Mytilus edulis: one gene and its partner. The protein of the gene in region 2 purifies or fractionates together with the protein of the main gene of each other region. This does not show direct contact. Links are inferred from orthologs where the notes say so. Each region holds a gene or a part of one and is shown on either strand. Other genes may lie near its edges. The genes, in order: histidine--tRNA ligase, cytoplasmic-like; glucose-6-phosphate 1-dehydrogenase-like.

Region 1 (3,938 bases), on a different chromosome or scaffold from region 2:
ACTTTAAGGTGGAATTTACAAATAGGAAACATGACTTGTAGTGACTGCTTCTCAGCAAATCTGGTAAATATAATGAACCAATTCAGAAACACAGAATTATGGGAAATTTAAGTTTTGGTGATACAATTTATCATGATTATCATGTTTATTGTTAAATGCAGATTAAACTGATTTGTTTGAAATTGTATTTAAATCCCCTTTTTATTTATATGAAATGATCCTTTTGTAATAAATGACATCTTAATTTACACCTTTTTTCACCTGTTTCATTCTATTCTAACATTGTATTCTGCCTCTGTCATGTCTGTGGTCTCTATCTGCTAGAGGGACACATATGTGTCTACATGATTGTGTAAGACATGTCACATATTTCAATATTTTCTAAATTACACAAGCACCTGTTCATTATTGTACATGTCATGCATGTGTCCCTTTCAAATAAAGCACTGAAAATTATACAGTGTAATCTTTTTATATATATTTGGTCTCACATATGACTTCATAAGGGTGTGATCAGGGTTCTCAAAGACTTGTGTAATATTAAATTTACCATGTTTACTCAAACGTTCAGTTTTTCATGAGGTTTTTTTTTCTTTAAATTTGAACAGGAACTCTCAGTTTCTCACCATGCTCACTTGGGCAATATTCTTCAAACATAAAATGGGTAACCAAAAGTTAGTTCTAGTACCATATGATAAGACTAGGACTTCAATTCCTCTTAGAAACATAAAAATGGGTTACAAGTATGTTTATTTTAAAATAGCAGGAAATATAAATGCAATGTGACGATCAGTGCACTAGAATGGGGACATGATTAGAATTCCCTTTTGAATAATGGCTGGATCTACACTTTAATTGTCTGAAGAAATCAGTCTGTGGTTTCTAGTCAACAGTTTTATTATTGAAATACTTGACATGTGACAGCTAGCAGTAGAAACTCTGAATGGATGAAGACATTTATCTTTCAATCAGTTTATTTGAAGTCTGGAGCTGGCATGTCAGTTAAATGCTAGTAGTCTGTTGTTATTTATGTATTATTGTCATTTTGTTTATTTTCTTTGGTTACATCTTCTGACATCAGACTTGGACTTCTCTTGAACTGAATTTTAATGTGCGTATCGTTGTGCGTTTACTTTTCTACATTGACTAGAGGTTTAGGGGGAGGGTTGAGATCTCATAAACATGTTCAACCCCGCCGCATTTTCGCACCTGTCCCAAGTCAGGAGCCTCTGGCCTTTGTTAGTCTTGTATTATTTTTAGCTTCTTGTGTACAATTTGGAGTTTAGTATGGCGTTCATTATCACTAACCTAGTAATATATATTTGTTTAAGGGCCAGCTGAAGGACGACTCTGGGTGCGGGAATTTCTCGCAGCATTGAAGACCTATTGGTGACCTTCTGTTGTTGTCTGTTTTAAGGTCGGGTTGTTGTCTCTTTGACACATTCCCCATTTCCATTCTCGATTTAATTTGTCAGATTTGTGCAGTACTCTTTACCATTTAGATCTTTTGGTAAATACAACTGTTCAAAGGGGGGTCAGACCTATAATCAGACAGTCCTATAATCCGACAGTACTGTAGTCCGACAGTCCTATAATCCGACAGACCGATAGTCAGACAGTCCTATAATCCGACAGCCCGATAGTCCGACAGTCCTATAATCCGACAGCCCGATAGTCCAACATACAGTCACTTGTCTGTGAATAAAGACATGGAACGATTGTAAATTATTTTTTTTTTACACAAAAAAACATGTGTCAAATCGATCAGCATGACGTCGTCATACCTGTAAAACTGACCCGTATCCTGCGGGTGTAACCTGAGAAAAATAGATAACCCGGGAATTTTGAAAATGACCGGTTTTCACCTGGATTCAAAGCCTTCAGACTGATATCATCATGATATTAAAGCGATTGCAGTACCTGTAAATTCGTATTTTTCCTTGGACAAGAAGTTCTACTATAGCTGTGTAAACTCAAATTAACTGACCCATTTCACTTTCAGTGCATGGCTTCACTTGACAGCTTGTGTCAAACACACTGTTGATTAACGGACTGTCGGATTATCGGACCGTCAGACTATCGAACTGTCAAACTACTGGACTGTTGGATTTTAGGGGTGTCGGATTATAGCTACGCTCCCGTTCAAAGTGTGACAAGTTCTGATTTTAACTGCAAAACTGTTCAGACATTTTGGTTGATTTTATTCAAATCAAGGATATAAAAAAAGTTGGAACTCTGACATGTCAGTTCTGTACCATATTTTGGTTACAGATTTATATGGGGACGAAGTCCCCAATAACAGTAGAAAATTCAATAAAAAAAAAAATTCGGGAAAATTTCCCGAATTTTTCATTGTACTAATGAACTCAAATTCGTTTATTTTTTTTTATGTCATGTTTTGAAATCCCGGACCTGCGCCGAAATGTACAATATACTTCCTTTTTCCGGTCTCGTTTGTATGAAACTTTGAGTAAAATATATATTTATCAGTCTAGTATAAAATAGGAAGAAACGCGCAATATCAATTTCATTTTTAATAATTCCTTGATATGAAAAAACGTTACCTAATGATAGCGTTTCTTTGTTTACATTGCATATGACGTCATAATTTAAATAACGTCACAACTAAAATCCCTAACAACAGAACCAAACTCGGAAACGTTACGGTATTACCGTTTCTTTTTTTTTTTGACAAATAATTAAGTTACAAAAAAATAATTCATACAGACTTCGTCCCCATTTACAGGTAATGCCTGCCTCATATTATTGTATCAATTATTCCAAATTAATGGTAGTTAACCTGCTGTGCTTCAGCTTTATCAATCTTTAACTGTCTAACTCTTTCTCCTTGTAAACGAATCTGTTCTTGCAACTTTTCTCGGGAAGTGTCACCGTCCATGCCGCTGATGCAACTATGATGTATAAAGAAGAAAATCGATTACCGGAAGTGGATATGAAATGGTATATACAACGACCAAACACACAAATAACAACCAGTAAAGAACTCATAAACTCATCATAGATACCAGGACTAAATTTAGTATATTATACGCCAGACGCGCGTTTTGTCTACAAAAGACTCATCAGTGACGCTCGAATCCAAAAAAGTTAAAAAAAGGCCAAATAAAGTACGAAGTTGAAGAGCATTGAGAACCAAAATTCCTAAAGTTTTGCCAAATACAGCTAAGGTAATCTATGCCTGAGTATTTCAAAAAATTCAAAAATTTGTAAACAGTAAATTTATAAATATAACCATATCAATGAAAATTCATGTCAACAAAAAAAGTGCTGACTACCGGGCTTGTCACACCCTCGGGAAAATAAATCTCCACCAGCAGTGGCATCGACCCAGTGGTTGTAAATAAACTCATCATAGATACCAGGACTAAATTCAGCCCGGTATATACGCCAGACGCGCGTTTCGTCTACAAAAGACTCATCAGTGACGCTCGAATCCAAAAAAGTTAAAAAGGCCAAATAAAAGTAGAATTTACCTATTTACCTATTTATAATTCAACAAAAGCAATTAATAAATCATTCCCGGTGATATGACAAAACAATAAATATAAACAATATTAATGGTAAATTGAAAAGTTCGTTTATTGAAATATTAATAAAACGTCTTTAACTAAAATAAGTGTATTATTAAGAATTAAACTAAAGAATACAGAAGTTGGAACGTGGAAACTGTAAATTCAACTATTCAACAACACATTAAAAAGTAAGAATAACTCTTTGTAAAAGTATATATAAGTATAATATACAAATTATGAAATAATGATATCGAATATGAGTGAAATTAGATTTCTAGAAATTAGAAACTACGGACGACGAAAGACGACGGACACCAATTCAGGAGAAAAGCTCACTTCGCCCTTCTGGTCACGAGAGATAAAAAGTAATTACGAACCAGGTTTAAGTACTCTCAGCATTTGAAA
Region 2 (3,938 bases):
ACTGAGTATAAAATTACTATAAACAATGATAATCAAGCATTCTGTGAGTGTTGCACAGTAATATATATACATGTAGTCCTCTGCCAGTTAAAAATTCCTTGTACTAGAACCAAATTCTAACTTGATCTATAACTTGTCATTGTGTAAACATTATAACAAATATGAAGTCAATTTCTTCAAGCATGACGAAAAACATTGTATTGAAAACTGATTATATAAGTGAATTTTCTAAGTCCAAGGGACTTAACTCTGCACAAAATCATCAGACCAGAACATATTTCAAACTTGAACTGTATACCTTTTATCAAAATCAATATCTTACAGCATGAAGAAAATAAATGGGGAATGTGTCAATGGGACAAAGATGATGCCCTGCTTGCAGTTGCATATTATATAACATGTATAAAGTTATAAACGAGCATAACTCTAAATGTTAAAGTCACATCACCAAAATTTATACTTGATCTGAGTTTGTGGTAATAAGCATTGTGTATCAGTTTCACAACATTTAGTTGCGGCAAACTAAAGTTAGAAACTAAAAATTCATCCACTTTTTCCATTTGTAAAGGGGCATATCTCTAGAACGATTAAAGTCACACCACTAATATTCAAACTTGATCTGTATCATGTGTATTGTGGTAATGAACATTGTGTATAAGTTTCAAAACATTTGGTTTATGCAAACTTAAGTAAGAGAACTAAATGTTGAATTTTTCCATTTATAAAGGGGCATAACTCTAGAACTATTGAAGCCACACCAGCAAAATTTAATCTTGATCTGTATTGTGTGGTAATAAACATTGTGTATACGTTTCATAACATTTCAAACATGAACTGTAACTTGTTTTAATGTCACTATATACCCATTATCAAATCAAGATCTTCAAGAATGACGAAAAAAAGTGCAGAAAACAGATTGTTTGAGTGAATTAAGTTCAAGAGCCATCACTGCACAAAATCATCAGACCGGAACAAAATTTAAAATCTTCAAGCATGAACTTAAAAAGTGTGGACAGACAGACAGACTGCAAACCTAAAGTCCCCTTCGACTTTGTCAGTAGAAGACTAATAAGCAAACTACAGCGTTCTTTTAACTCAGTATGGTCCACCCTTTTATTGGCCTCAGGTAAGATAAGTTGTATAAGTAACTGTGTTACTCTCATTGTACATGTAATCAATAAACAATGATAAAGTAGTTATTTCAGAAGTAAAACTTACTTCCTGGTCTGCCCTTTTCGGCTGTGAAATTCAACGGAAAGAAATGTAATGTTGAAAGATTTGAAAAGTCTAAGGATTTGTATAATACTTTTTTTACTAATCATGCTGATAGAGACCCTTCAAATGTCTAAGTACAAATGTATATGAAACAGATAATGATGTACATATCACTGGATCAGCTAGACTCTTAAAATTCATCTTGCTTTAAGCATGTTAAGGTTACAACCTTAAAAATGATGTGAAAGATGCGTTCAAAAATGTATATCCCCTGCTAGCTACTATATGGTAGTATGCCTACATTAGGCTAGCATGGGGATGTGTCACAAATTTCAAAATCTATTAAAATTTTCCACCTTAATCCTGTTAATTTCAATCATTTCTATCATAATTAAGGATAACTAGGGTTTGCAAGTGTCTTCTTTTATAACCAGTGTCAAAAAATTATTTTTTATGTACAATGTATCTTGTTACTTCAATTACTTATAACATTAAAACATAACATTAAAAATGTTTACCATTTCATTTTTTATACATGTAATTATTCAGAAATTATTTAACAGACTATTGAATTATCATCAAACTTTAGATTGACTCATTGGAATGAATTTGCAAGTTGAATAAACTAGTAGTGTCAAAATATAGGACAAGAAATAAAACAACACTTTATAATACATAGAAATCTATGTGTACATGTATATGTGCATTAGCGTAAACAACAAGATAAACAATTTGCACAATGACTGTCAAACAGGAATATTCTTATGTGTCTTCGTTTGATCTAATCTCTTACTTGCATAGCGCATGTGGGAGATAAAATTCAAATATCTTGTACAACTAAAAGAAATGAGAAAGAAGAAATGCAGTACAACTGAAAGCATTTAACAATGACATTTCAGATCAATGTCATCGTTTTTAGGGACTAACAACACAAAGTGTACTTACCGATGCACCTAAAACAACAAAAACATGAGATGCTGCTCCACCCTCATAGGCTAATTCATCCCTCAGGATGGAAAGCATATCAACTTTCCCTTGCACTGCCATTTTTCCAAAATACTCGTCTGCTACAGGAAGTAAAATGTCGACTTCCGTTTCCCTAAAAGTGGGCGTGTCACATTTAAGACCCCTCTGTTTTTCTAATTCTTTTTTGTATTGCCTGTACATTAATTTCTGTGTCTGAAAGCTGTTGGTATCAATGGTCAATACTTTCTCATATCAAGGGTTTAATCCATGATCCGATTACTGACTAATGTCCCTAATATTAAATGATACAAAAAATTAACCGATTGTGTGACCTTTATTTTAAAAACACTTCAACTTCATGTCATTATCTAGAACTTGATGTTCTCACGGAGAATAGTTTCATATTGATTTTATATATATATATATATCTATTTACTGTTTCAAACTGTATATCGATCCTTAGTTACACTTGCAGTAGGTAAAAGAAGTCAGAAATGTATATCGTGGCGTTCCTTGTTTAATTATTTTTTGCAAGAATCAGATGATATTTCAGTTAATAATAATTTCATTAATTGTCATTAAACATTTACAATGTTTGTGGCAATACAAGAACAAACAAACAATAAAAGAAAAAAAAAAAAATAATATACGAAAGTTAATCTAACATGTCTAATAGACCCCAAAACATAAGTGATAAATTTTCGATATTACAATATTCGATATCCATGTTACAATAAGACCTCTGCCCTCAGTTCTTATGACCTTTTAATAAAAAAAAACAACAACAAAAAAACCCCAATAATTCTAACATGTCTAAAGGAAATGGATAAAATAATTTTTGATCATCAGGATAATGAATAAAATGTTCATCACCTAATTGTATATCATTATATAAATTTTGTCTCATATTTTCGTTTACCTTGCAATAGAAAATAAAATGAAGTTAATCGGCTTCAGGGTTTACTGATATAACTGCATGGAAATGTGGTTTTTAAAATTGGTTTCCTTATCCAAATCTCTAAAAATAAATATTCCAAATCATGCAAGGTGGCATATGATGATCCTGGTATGCGAGTGGCTTATTTTAGAGTGGCTACTTTGTGGTTTGACCTATCAAAATATTACATGTTAAAAGACTTTCTCATACCACATGTTATGGTAAATTTAACAAAAACTTGGACTAAGGCATTTAAAAGAAACTTATAGGCAGTATGGTTACCTATACGTGCTTACATCCACTTTATATTGCTTTGAACTCTGGTGCATATATATATATAGCTCTCTTATTGGCAACAATTCCACATCTCCGTACTCATGGTATTTTTATATTGTACCGTTGAATTCTCCAATCTTTCTGCAAACACGTATCCAAGGAGACTATGAATACATCATATATAAACAGCAATACTTGCTGCTTTCCTGATTTGGGTACTGTTTCACAAGGAAACTTTCATGATACTTTACTGATAGGTGTTTTCAAATTGATCTCGTTTTATGTCCAACTACAGTCGTATTCGATCTTGGAAAGATACATCTGATCAAGACCAATACAACTGTAAGATAACATAATATATACGTGAAGGTTCAACATGGAAACATCCTTTTCAGGATACCTTTATTAAACGGTCACTTAAATTGCCCTCTAAAGCTGACCAATAACGAATATGACTGAATGAAGAATAATACAGTTTCAATATGAAATCATTTATTTCATGACACCTGACTCTGAATCACTAACATGTCGCGTGAGTCTAATG

The links.
Region 1: the proteins of glucose-6-phosphate 1-dehydrogenase-like (region 2) and histidine--tRNA ligase, cytoplasmic-like fractionate together in Homo sapiens (co-fractionation; 3 studies listed by BioGRID). This does not show direct contact. The link is inferred for Mytilus edulis from reciprocal best matches to the Homo sapiens genes G6PD and HARS1.

The regions. Positions count from the first base shown.
Region 1 is NC_092351.1:44,718,621-44,722,558, reverse strand, and holds the start of histidine--tRNA ligase, cytoplasmic-like, read right to left. Parts: upstream 2,956-3,938; 5' UTR 2,900-2,955; coding exon 2,801-2,899; intron 61-2,800; exon of another isoform or gene 33-60; coding exon of another isoform or gene 1-32. UniProt on the Homo sapiens protein: Catalyzes the ATP-dependent ligation of histidine to the 3'-end of its cognate tRNA, via the formation of an aminoacyl-adenylate intermediate (His-AMP). Plays a role in axon guidance.
Region 2 is NC_092344.1:74,282,414-74,286,351, forward strand, and holds the start of glucose-6-phosphate 1-dehydrogenase-like, read right to left. Parts: upstream 2,475-3,938; 5' UTR 2,383-2,474; coding exon 2,161-2,382; intron 1-2,160. UniProt on the Homo sapiens protein: Catalyzes the rate-limiting step of the oxidative pentose-phosphate pathway, which represents a route for the dissimilation of carbohydrates besides glycolysis.